Linked DNA regions of Xenopus tropicalis. The protein of the gene in region 2 interacts with the protein of the main gene of each other region in a pairwise test. Links are inferred from orthologs where the notes say so. Each region holds a gene or a part of one and is shown on either strand. Other genes may lie near its edges.

The links. The genes of interacting proteins can lie anywhere in the genome.
Region 1: the proteins of srrm4 (region 2) and zrsr2 interact in binary tests that used the Homo sapiens proteins (3 or more experiments, as listed by UniProt). The link is inferred for Xenopus tropicalis from reciprocal best matches to the Homo sapiens genes SRRM4 and ZRSR2.

The regions. Positions count from the first base shown.
Region 1 is NC_030678.2:29,871,472-29,876,362, reverse strand, and holds the start of zrsr2 (U2 small nuclear ribonucleoprotein auxiliary factor 35 kDa subunit-related protein 2), read right to left. Parts: upstream 3,340-4,891; 5' UTR 3,204-3,339; coding exon 3,172-3,203; intron 1,499-3,171; coding exon 1,422-1,498; intron 526-1,421; coding exon 459-525; intron 51-458; coding exon 1-50. UniProt on the Homo sapiens protein: Pre-mRNA-binding protein required for splicing of both U2- and U12-type introns. Selectively interacts with the 3'-splice site of U2- and U12-type pre-mRNAs and promotes different steps in U2 and U12 intron splicing.
Region 2 is NC_030677.2:165,782,506-165,787,296, forward strand, and holds part of srrm4 (serine/arginine repetitive matrix protein 4), read left to right. Parts: intron 1-4,209; coding exon 4,210-4,520; intron 4,521-4,791. UniProt on the Homo sapiens protein: Splicing factor specifically required for neural cell differentiation.

The DNA of each region.
Region 1 (4,891 bases), on a different chromosome or scaffold from region 2:
CTTCCTGTGCTTTCGTCTCTCGAAGTAGCCATTCTTCATGTAACCTTTGCCTGCATGCACAGTGAGAACTACATTAAAGAATGGGAAACACAGCACTGGAATAGGGAAAAAAATATTTTTTCTATTCTGTATTTCTTAATTAATAAAAGAACAAAGGTGCAAATTCTTTAAATAATAACAATTTGTGTGTGTTTATAAATATTGTTTACATTGCCCCAAATAAAGTACAACTGTAACTGAGCCACACTAAAGGACATTATTAATGGAAATTGCGGAACAAACTTATATGCTTTTAACCCACACTAAGTTTTGGATTTTATACTCGTGTATAAGCAAGTATCATTTAGAGATCACTGCTTTGGAACAGATAACATTGAGTCAAATGGAAAGTATCTGGCTTCTACATATAACAGTGTTCTGATACATTCTGAAAAAGCGTTTAAAGGGTTAGTGTGGACCTTTCAATCTCAAGCTGAGCTTCATCCTCTTCTTCTTCAGAACATGGTTCATCCTCATTATTATCATCTGAAAGTTAAAAACAGAATTTACAGTACTATTATGGGTTGAGTCTTAACTTAACATAAGGGACTGCACCTTCATTATTTATTTTCCCTGAGTATTTTGCAAATAAAATATTAAGACTAATGTCACACACAACATTTTCTCTCTGCTGGATACTACCCCCTGTCTGTAGGCAGTGACAGCGCAGGTCAGTTGGGCCCATTTGTAACCAAGCTGTTTAACATTTGCCTGTATGTTTTGGTTCAACCAGATTTCAACAGTTTTCAAAAATGAGTTTCAATTTATTAGACCAAAGCAAAACTGTACTCCAGTCCTTTGAAAAATTGTGCAGTATTTATGCCAAGGAACTAAAGCGATGTAAGAATGTCGGCAGTGGTAAGTACTGATGGTTTGGTGGAGGCTTGGCACACTTTTCTACACTGTATTATATAATACTGACATGTTCCTATTAATTTGCATAGGAGCGTGTGTCAGTTTCATTTGTTGATATCTACTTGCATATATGTAATCATGCCCGTCAGCTAATAAACAGGCCCTGTATATCTCCTCCGGCACATCAGCATGTCTGGCAACGCCTCTGCTGCTTCTTAAAAAGGTTTACCAAGCTGCCATGTAGATAACTAGTAACAGGGAAATGTATTGAGGTGGGGGGGGGGAAAGAAAAGCCTAATTAGTATCTGCTTTTAATACTGCATACAACAGAATTACATTTCTCAAACATATTATTTACGTATAACAAATTTTAAGCCCACTTTAATATTAATAAAGCACACCACAGAAATGGACTCAATGAAGGCAAATATTTAAATAACCACGCTTGCAAATGGCATGTAAAATGTGCTATTTACTTTCTTCCCATTTACACAGTTTGATTCTCCCTGTTTTTGTACACAACGTACCTTCTCTTAATTTTGCAAGGGCCTGTCTCTTTTTTCGACGCCTTTCTTTCTTGAGGAGCGCTCTGAGTCGTTTATGGCTAAAATATGAGGCATATTAGCAAACAGGTGATTAAGTTGAATGCTAAATTCATTATTATTATGTAATCAAAACATTAAATAACTGCGACACATATGACCGTGCTTTCTCTCGCTTACTGGTTACCCTAAAAACAAGCCTGCATGATACTTTCCACAGGTCAAAACGATTTCCCCTTCATGAGCTTCTACAAATAATCTTCAGCCTCACATTTTAGACCTTAAAGGCAACTTCACCAAAGCACGACCTAAGCTTTTTTACAAGTAAGCATAATTTCAAGCACCTTTGCAATATACATCAATTAAAAATGATGCAGAAAGAAGAACTGTTTTGCAGCTGGATTTCAGCAAATAAAAATGATATTTATTTATACTTTTTGAAGGAACAGATTACAGTTATAGGTGTATTATGGGTTTCTGCGTTGTGTGGTCCGGGAGCCAGAGTTCCCCTTTAATCTTTCTCTATAATACATGGGTCCTGCATGCAGATATTTTGGGCTTATGTAACAGAAACAAGTTTGTAGCTGCTGTTTGTAGCTGGCTGGTATTTAGTATGTAACGGACAAAGAAAACAATATAAACTACTAACCAGCTACAAGTAAAGACTACTAATGTTCTTGTTTTAAAATCCTTAGGGAGCAGTGCCAAGAGGTTTACAGTTTACTTCTACCTCCACTTGATGTAGCTGCATATAGGAGCAGATCCACTTGTTTTCTGGCGGACCATATGCCACGTGTGACTGTGCCCTTAGGGCTATAACACCCAGGCTATTTTGACTGCTTCTGCCGTCCCAGAGATAACAGCAGCGGTTAAAATACTACAGTGAGCAAAGGCTCATTGCACTATAGCACAATCTCCGCCATCTGTAGCATAGCCCCTGTGCCGCACATTCTGGCCCCAGTGATTGTACCTTTCCTTCTCCTTTAGGCTGGTGCCACACGTGGCGTTTTTCCGCTGTGTATTTTCTAATTCTCTCGGCGGCTGAAAAACGCCCGATATCATCATCCATAGAAACAGCTTGAAAAGACTCAAAGTGAACCACACAATGCGGAAATACGCTAGATAACGCCTTAGCACGGATTTTTCATGCGTTGGCTTTAATACGCCAGTATTTGCAAATCAAGCTATTCCTATGTATACACAAAGGCAGCTGCCAGACCTAGCGGAAATACGCAGCGTTTTTTGCTATTTCACACTATTAGCACCATGGAAACGGGATTTGCTGACATCACCAGTACTAGGCTAAAAACGCCATAGTCAGGGGCTGTGTGGCTTGTGCGGCGTTTTTAGGCCGAGAAAAAACGCAGTGGAAAAACGCCACATGTGGCATCAGCCTTAATGTAGGAAGCATGAGACGAGGGCAACTAAACTTTATAAATACTGGGCACATTTGCAACAGGGCAGTAACCCATAGCAACCATAGCTGCCAGCAAGCTGCAGGTAATACACTATGGAGGCATCTCACCGGTTGGCATGGGTTACTGCAAAGCTCAAACCTGCCCAGTTTATTTAAATAACCCCATTATTCTAGCACGGCAAGTCGCTTATCTGTTACTGACTACAGTTCCCAGCATCCCCCAATACACAGACAGCATGCAGTAGTACGTGAGAGAATTCTGTAACATACAACACTAACATATTCCAAGCGATAATAGTGCAACTACTCGCTGCTTACCCGCTCACTACATGCGGGTTACGCGATGTCATGTTGTCCCTCGAGTGAATGGGCAGCCTCCCAGCACCCCCATACAGCCCTGTCTCTCACACTACTGCCATTCCCAATTCTATTAGCGAGCGCCTCGCATCAGCGCGACCAACTTCCGGTGTCCCTCCGGTAGTGCGTCATTAGGGGGCGGGGCCTAGAAGTTGGTTTTGTTGGCGCTCGTCTGTCTTATCCTTTAGGAGAGTTCTTATAAATAAACCTCTTCAATTAAATGACTTGCTGACTAACTGCTTGTGTATTGTACAAGTGAGGGTTTGCTGGGGAGGTGTTGAGCCGTAACCTGTATGCAGCACGCCGGGGGGCACAGACAACTTTAGCAGCTTGTACAGCTGAGGGGTACATAGAGTGCCTTATGGTAGGGGAACGGCAAAGTGTATGGTCGTCTAAAAGCACATTAGTGAGTTGCAACAAAATGGAAGGCAGGAGCATATATACATAGGTCTGTGTATTATTATCTGTGTATAATACACCGCCCTTTTTATGGTTATAATGTTAGAGCTATAGTTCCCAAATCTCATGACATATATGGTGTCTAAATGAGATCCAGTGAGTGACAAGAGAGCTGGTTGTGGGCAATGGGTTATAAATATAAATTTTTGGCACAAAGTAAAACCAGCATCATATATTCTTAGTACAACAGTGCTGTCCAACTGGCGGCCTGCGGGCAGCATCTGGGCTGTGGCTCCCATGTGTCTGGCTGCTGTGACTGCTAACTTTTGTGTAAGCTTTAAATGGCATTAGTATTGAGATTGCCTGGCCAACCTGCATTCTTGTACACAAAAAAGATCGTTCCCCCACACCCAGGCTCTCCAAAAAAATTCAACGCCCGGTGCTCACTATTAACCCTTTTACTGCCAGCTGTTTTGGTCAAAGCGTAACTTTTTTTCAGAACAACCTAAGCTTTCAAAATATGGTAGAATTTTTGTGTAATTCCAATTCTGTAACAAGATATAGTAACATAGTAAGTTGGGTTGAAAAAAGACATACGTCCATCAAGTTCAACCATAATGCCTATACCTAACCTGCCTAACTACTAGTTGATCCAGAGGAAGGCAAAAAACCCCATCTGAAGCCTCTCTAATTTGCCACAGAGGGGAAAAAATTCCTTCCTGACTCCAAGATGGCAATCGGACCAGTCCCTGGATCAACTTGTACTAAGAGCTATCTCCCATAACCCTGTATTCCCTCACTTGTACTGAGAGCTATCTCCCATAACCCTGTATTCCCTCACTTGCTAAGAATCCATCCAGCCCCTTCTTAAAGCTATATAATGTATCAGCCAGCACGACTGATTCGGGGAGGGAATTCCACAACTTCACAGCTCTCACTGTAAAAAATCCTTTCCGAATGTTTAAATGGAACCTCCCTTCTTCTAAACGGAGTGGGTGCCCTCGTGTCCGTTGGAAGGACCTACTGGTAAATAAAACATTAGAAAGGTTATTATATGATCCCTTTATATATTTATACATAGTTATCATGTCACCTCTTAAGCTCCTCTTCTCCAGTGTAAACAGACCCAACTTGGCCAGTCTTTCTTTATAACTGAGACTTTCCATACCCTTTACCAGCTTAGTTGCCCTTCTCTGGAGCCTCTCTAACTCAGTAATGTCCCGTTTGAGCACTGGAGACCAAAACTGAACAGCATATTCTAGATGGGGCCTTACCAGCGCTC
Region 2 (4,791 bases):
TTGTTCAGAGGAAATTTATCTGAACAGATGGCTCTTTAAAGTCTGATTCATTTCCAATTACCTATGGTCGGAGGACTAATTATCTGTCTTCTTTTCTAATTCACACTAACCTCTCACAGTCCCCCTACCTGTATGCTGCACACTATACTAGGAAATAACAACTGTCACCTTCATAGTATCAATGGAATCTGATTTTGAATAGTAATTAAATAAGCAAAGTATCGTATTTTCCAGAAATGCAGTATTGGCCTAAGCACTTTTGCCAAACCGTTGTTTTCAAAAAGAAAATATCCCATAACTCAACCAGTCCATAAAAATATAAATGTATTCAAAACTTAATGTTAAAAAGTAAATACAAATACAGATCCCATGGTGTATCTGCCTATATATATATATTGTATATATATTGTATATATGTGTATAGATGTATATTTACTGTTGAGTTACAGGATATTTTCTTTTTTATTGAATGCCTAATATGCCCTTTGGTTCTAGGGGCTATATCCCTTTAACTGTGGCCCTATTTTTGACTGGCCATTCATATATATACCATACAATTAATTAATTTTTTTGCAATGTGAGATGTTTGCCTGAAATTGACAGCCCAGATAGTATAGCTGGCTGTGTAATGGTACAGTCAAGGGCTCAGGATTGGCAACACCTATAAAGAGCAGAAGAATGTAGCCAATCCCATTTTAAACAAAAGGTATGACTGGAAATAAGCAATAAATGTCACTAGGCAAATTAACATCACTTATAAGTTCATAGCTTGGCCCAGTGGCCCGGAATCCAAATCAGTGATGGAGCATGATAAGAGCCCAAATGTAATACCATGGAGCAATCCTGGATCATAACCTTTAGAGAAAAGATCCAGTTCTGCTTGACTCGCTGAGTATTTTGCACAAGAGCAAGCAGCTGGTTGATGGCTTAGGGTCACATGAGTCTTCAAAGATGACTATTTGTACATATCCCACTACAGATATCAGGGAGAGTGTATGTTTGTTTTATCTGACCTGTTATATGTAATGATGGAATTATGTTACCTTTTTCTTACACCTTACCTACTAAAGGAGGAGTTCCCGCTTGGTAAGTCGCTGATTCCTGACAGATGTTAGGGGTTTTCTTAGATCGAGGCACCTAATAAATCTGGACTTACAGGGGAATTAAAAACCTAATAGAGAATTTACTAAGTCAGAAAAAGCTGGAAAATATCTGTATACTTTATATTACTCTCTTTTTTTTTTTTTCTTTCCGTCCTTCCCTGACCCCCAGTTAATGGGGATTTGCTTTATCTCTTTAATTTTCTTTCCTCTGATTTACACTCTGCTTATCTCTTTTGTTCTTTGCAATGGTTTTGGCTTCATTTAATTTAAAATTGTCCATGGGTTCAGGAAATCAGGCCATAAAAATCTGACCTAGAGGCTTCGTAAGGTTTTGCTTTATAAAGCCCCATAGTGTTATCATTGTGGCAAGCTGATATCTTGGTACCCATTGTCTATTAGACTCCAGCAGCAGCAAGCACAATAACAGAAGGAGCTTGTATATAGGGTGGCAGCTCAACATTCCTGTTCTCCATGTTTTCAATGCATTCTGCTAATTTATATAAGTAGCTATCTTTGAGGCCATGCATTAGTCTTTGTGTTTATATTTAGTGAGCATGATGGATTTGTACTTAAAGGTTTGCTGTCCAGGTGGCAATTTGACAATAATACTTTTACCCTAAAAATGTTCCATTATTTGAACTATTTCAGTACGCATGAATATGGGGTATAGATAGACTTGCAATGTGTCTGCTGATGTTTTTCCCACTACAATGCCAGCAGTTGGCTTTTGGCCGGATGTTTTCCTTGATTTCTTCATTATCATATTTATTAAAAATGCTTTCACTGCCAATAGGAAGGAGGTGTCCACAGCCTGTTACCCAGCATGCAATCAGAGCTCCCAGCCAGAAATGGGGAAAGCAGGGGATTGAAATAATGTTTGTATGTGTCAATTGCACACTGAGAATCCACATTTCCTACTATTCTGTCTCTTTTGCAGTCCATTTGTTTGCAAATCAAAACAATGACAGCCTTATTCCTTGAAAATGTCTTTTTTTCTATATACAGTCCTACATTAGGACTAGTAAAGCCTTACAGTATGCTAGTCATTGTGAAATTCTTATGTATATCTTTGAATTTAAAAATTTACAGACATCATTTTCACTCTGCTTTGAAATGATTAATGTGAGAGGGGACCCTCTAGGAAAAGAATTCACACTTTCATTTCATAATTTCTTTGGTGTAACTCAGACTAATCACTAGGATGGATGTGACCTAAGTAAAATTCAGTATTTCAATTGAATATTGGTAGTGAGTGGCCATTGGTTTATTAATGGAATCTGCCAAAATGATGTGATGCCCTAACGCCTTGTTATGTATTCCCATCTAATGTGGGGCATTTACTATTGTTTTTTTTTTGGTTTGTGTTTTTTGTCATGGAACAAACAGCACATTTGTTGCAATTTATTATACAACAAAACTGTGACAATTCAGTCAATTGTTGTAGAAGTCAATGGCAGTTGCCCCTTTTACAGTTGGAAGATCCTTCTTTGCTTCATGGTTTTAGAGGTTTTCAGGGTTTGTTGACACTGGCATCAGTGCAACAATATGAAAAAGTTTTGTTTTTTGCGAAACAAGTCGAAAAAGTTGTGGTTTTTGTGAAAGAATTTGAAAAATTTTTGATAAATGACTGGCAATCATGAAAATAAGTTTACTAGTAGTTTTAAAAAATATATAGAAAACCGAATGTTAATAAATAAGTGAAGTCTGTTGGGAAATGAGTGGCATATATATGTTAGAAGTTTAGGATGTGGTTGGTAGACATAGCAGCAGTAGCAGTATGCTAGGTAGACATAGCTTGTGAGGCCCACAACACTTTGGTTACATCTATTTGCAAAATAACAGAAAAGTGGAGTCATCACACAGAAGGGTGCTTATCATTACTCCTGCCAGGGAACAATCTCAATATTTCATAAAAAGTTTTGTTCAGTTGCCCTTTGCAAGAAATGACTAGCCATTATTTACAAATGAAAGGTAATTAGTTAGTAGTAGGTGCAGTAGCAATAGTCCAGCTGAATTCCTGAACTGTGCTTTTGTATACAACTTACTTATATTCAAGGATAGAGAAGTAGGACCTAAATTGTGATTTATGTGACTTCAAAAGATTTAAATGGATATTGTTCAACACTAGAGAAAAGCATCTATAGAGGAACAGAACCATGTATCTTCACATAGTGTATATGTGGCCCAAGCCGTAAATGCAGGGCTGTGCTCATGCTTGCCCTGTAAATGCTGTTCAATGGAGAGACAGTAGTAAGATAAACACTCTCTTTAGAGTGTTAATCCATGTAGGATTCCAATTTTATTAAATGTTGGGAATAGCTCCTCATACATCTATGTAATACAAACAAATGTAAATATAAATACAACCAAATGTGTGCGACTGCTGAGACTGCTTACTACTATAGGCAACATGAAGTGAAACGTGTGGAATGCAGGATTACCTCATAGAGAACCAAGAGCAGACATATCTGATACTGTTTATTATGTACGTTAACATTCACGTATGGCTTTGATAGGTGTGTTGTTTTATTTAATGTCAAGCCTAGGTCTATGTAAACACCTGTTCTGAAGTCAAAGAAAAACCTGAAAGTCAGGTCTCCACTGTCACAAAAAAAGTGTTGCTTTCTCTCTGTATATAGGTTTATTAAGCCTCAAGTGCCCACAGTGCTTAATGATAGTAGATTGCCACAAACAGTAAGAAACAGCACTTTTATACAGTGTGTGTCTCAGTAGCAATGCCAGTGCAATCAGAGTGAAAGGCCCATACATTTCAAGATACTGTGCACCTTTTCTTTTTCCATTATTCGCTGTTCCATTCTTTTTCTATGGGTGCATGCAAATATTGTGCATGGTGACAATTTCATTGCAGATATCTCATGTCTGCAGAAGCCACTGCAGACTTTTTGTTCTGTTCTCTTTTGTTTTTCTTTTCACTGCCCGCTCCTTTCATTTTCTTCCTTTATTTGTTTTATTTTAAGTTAATAAAAATATACAGTATTTCTTGAATATTACATTATCCAATTTCTGAAAGCAAAGTGGTTATTAAGTTACAATCTTCATTTGCGATTTGGGTTCAGCACGTGTCATCGTTCTCTTGTTTTTTCAGATTTCCCAATCAGTTACTGGCCTTTTGGTCTCATCAGAGAGAGGGGTTTGTCGGAAGGAAGGTGGAAACGAGTATGACTCAGGGAACGATACATGCTCTCCTCCTTCAATGCAGATAAGCACTTCAAGGCTGATGGTCAGCCAAGAAAAAGAAAGCCTACCCCACCACGGGTTTCAGCATGCCTCCGCCTCTGGGAAAACCCCAAATGGCCCGAGCGACAATATCTCTGATTCAGGCAATTCATCGGCCAGTTGCTTCTCTTTCATAAAGGACACAGCACTTCTCTTGGGAGATAGTCAGAAACAGAAGAGGTGAAGATAATGCATTAACAAAAATAACTGGTTAGGAAACCATATCTAACAGATAAAACAAATGAAATAACAAAACAAATAAATAAAAATGTACATGATATCAGATGGTCTTATGACCATCTGATATCATGTACATTTTTATTTATTTGTATGTGGGTGGGTAAAGGGGGTGAGACAATTGGTAAGGGCTCTGGCACACGGGGAGACTAGTCGCCCGCGACAAATCTCCCTTGTTGCGGGCGACTAATCTCCCCGAAATGCCATCTCACCG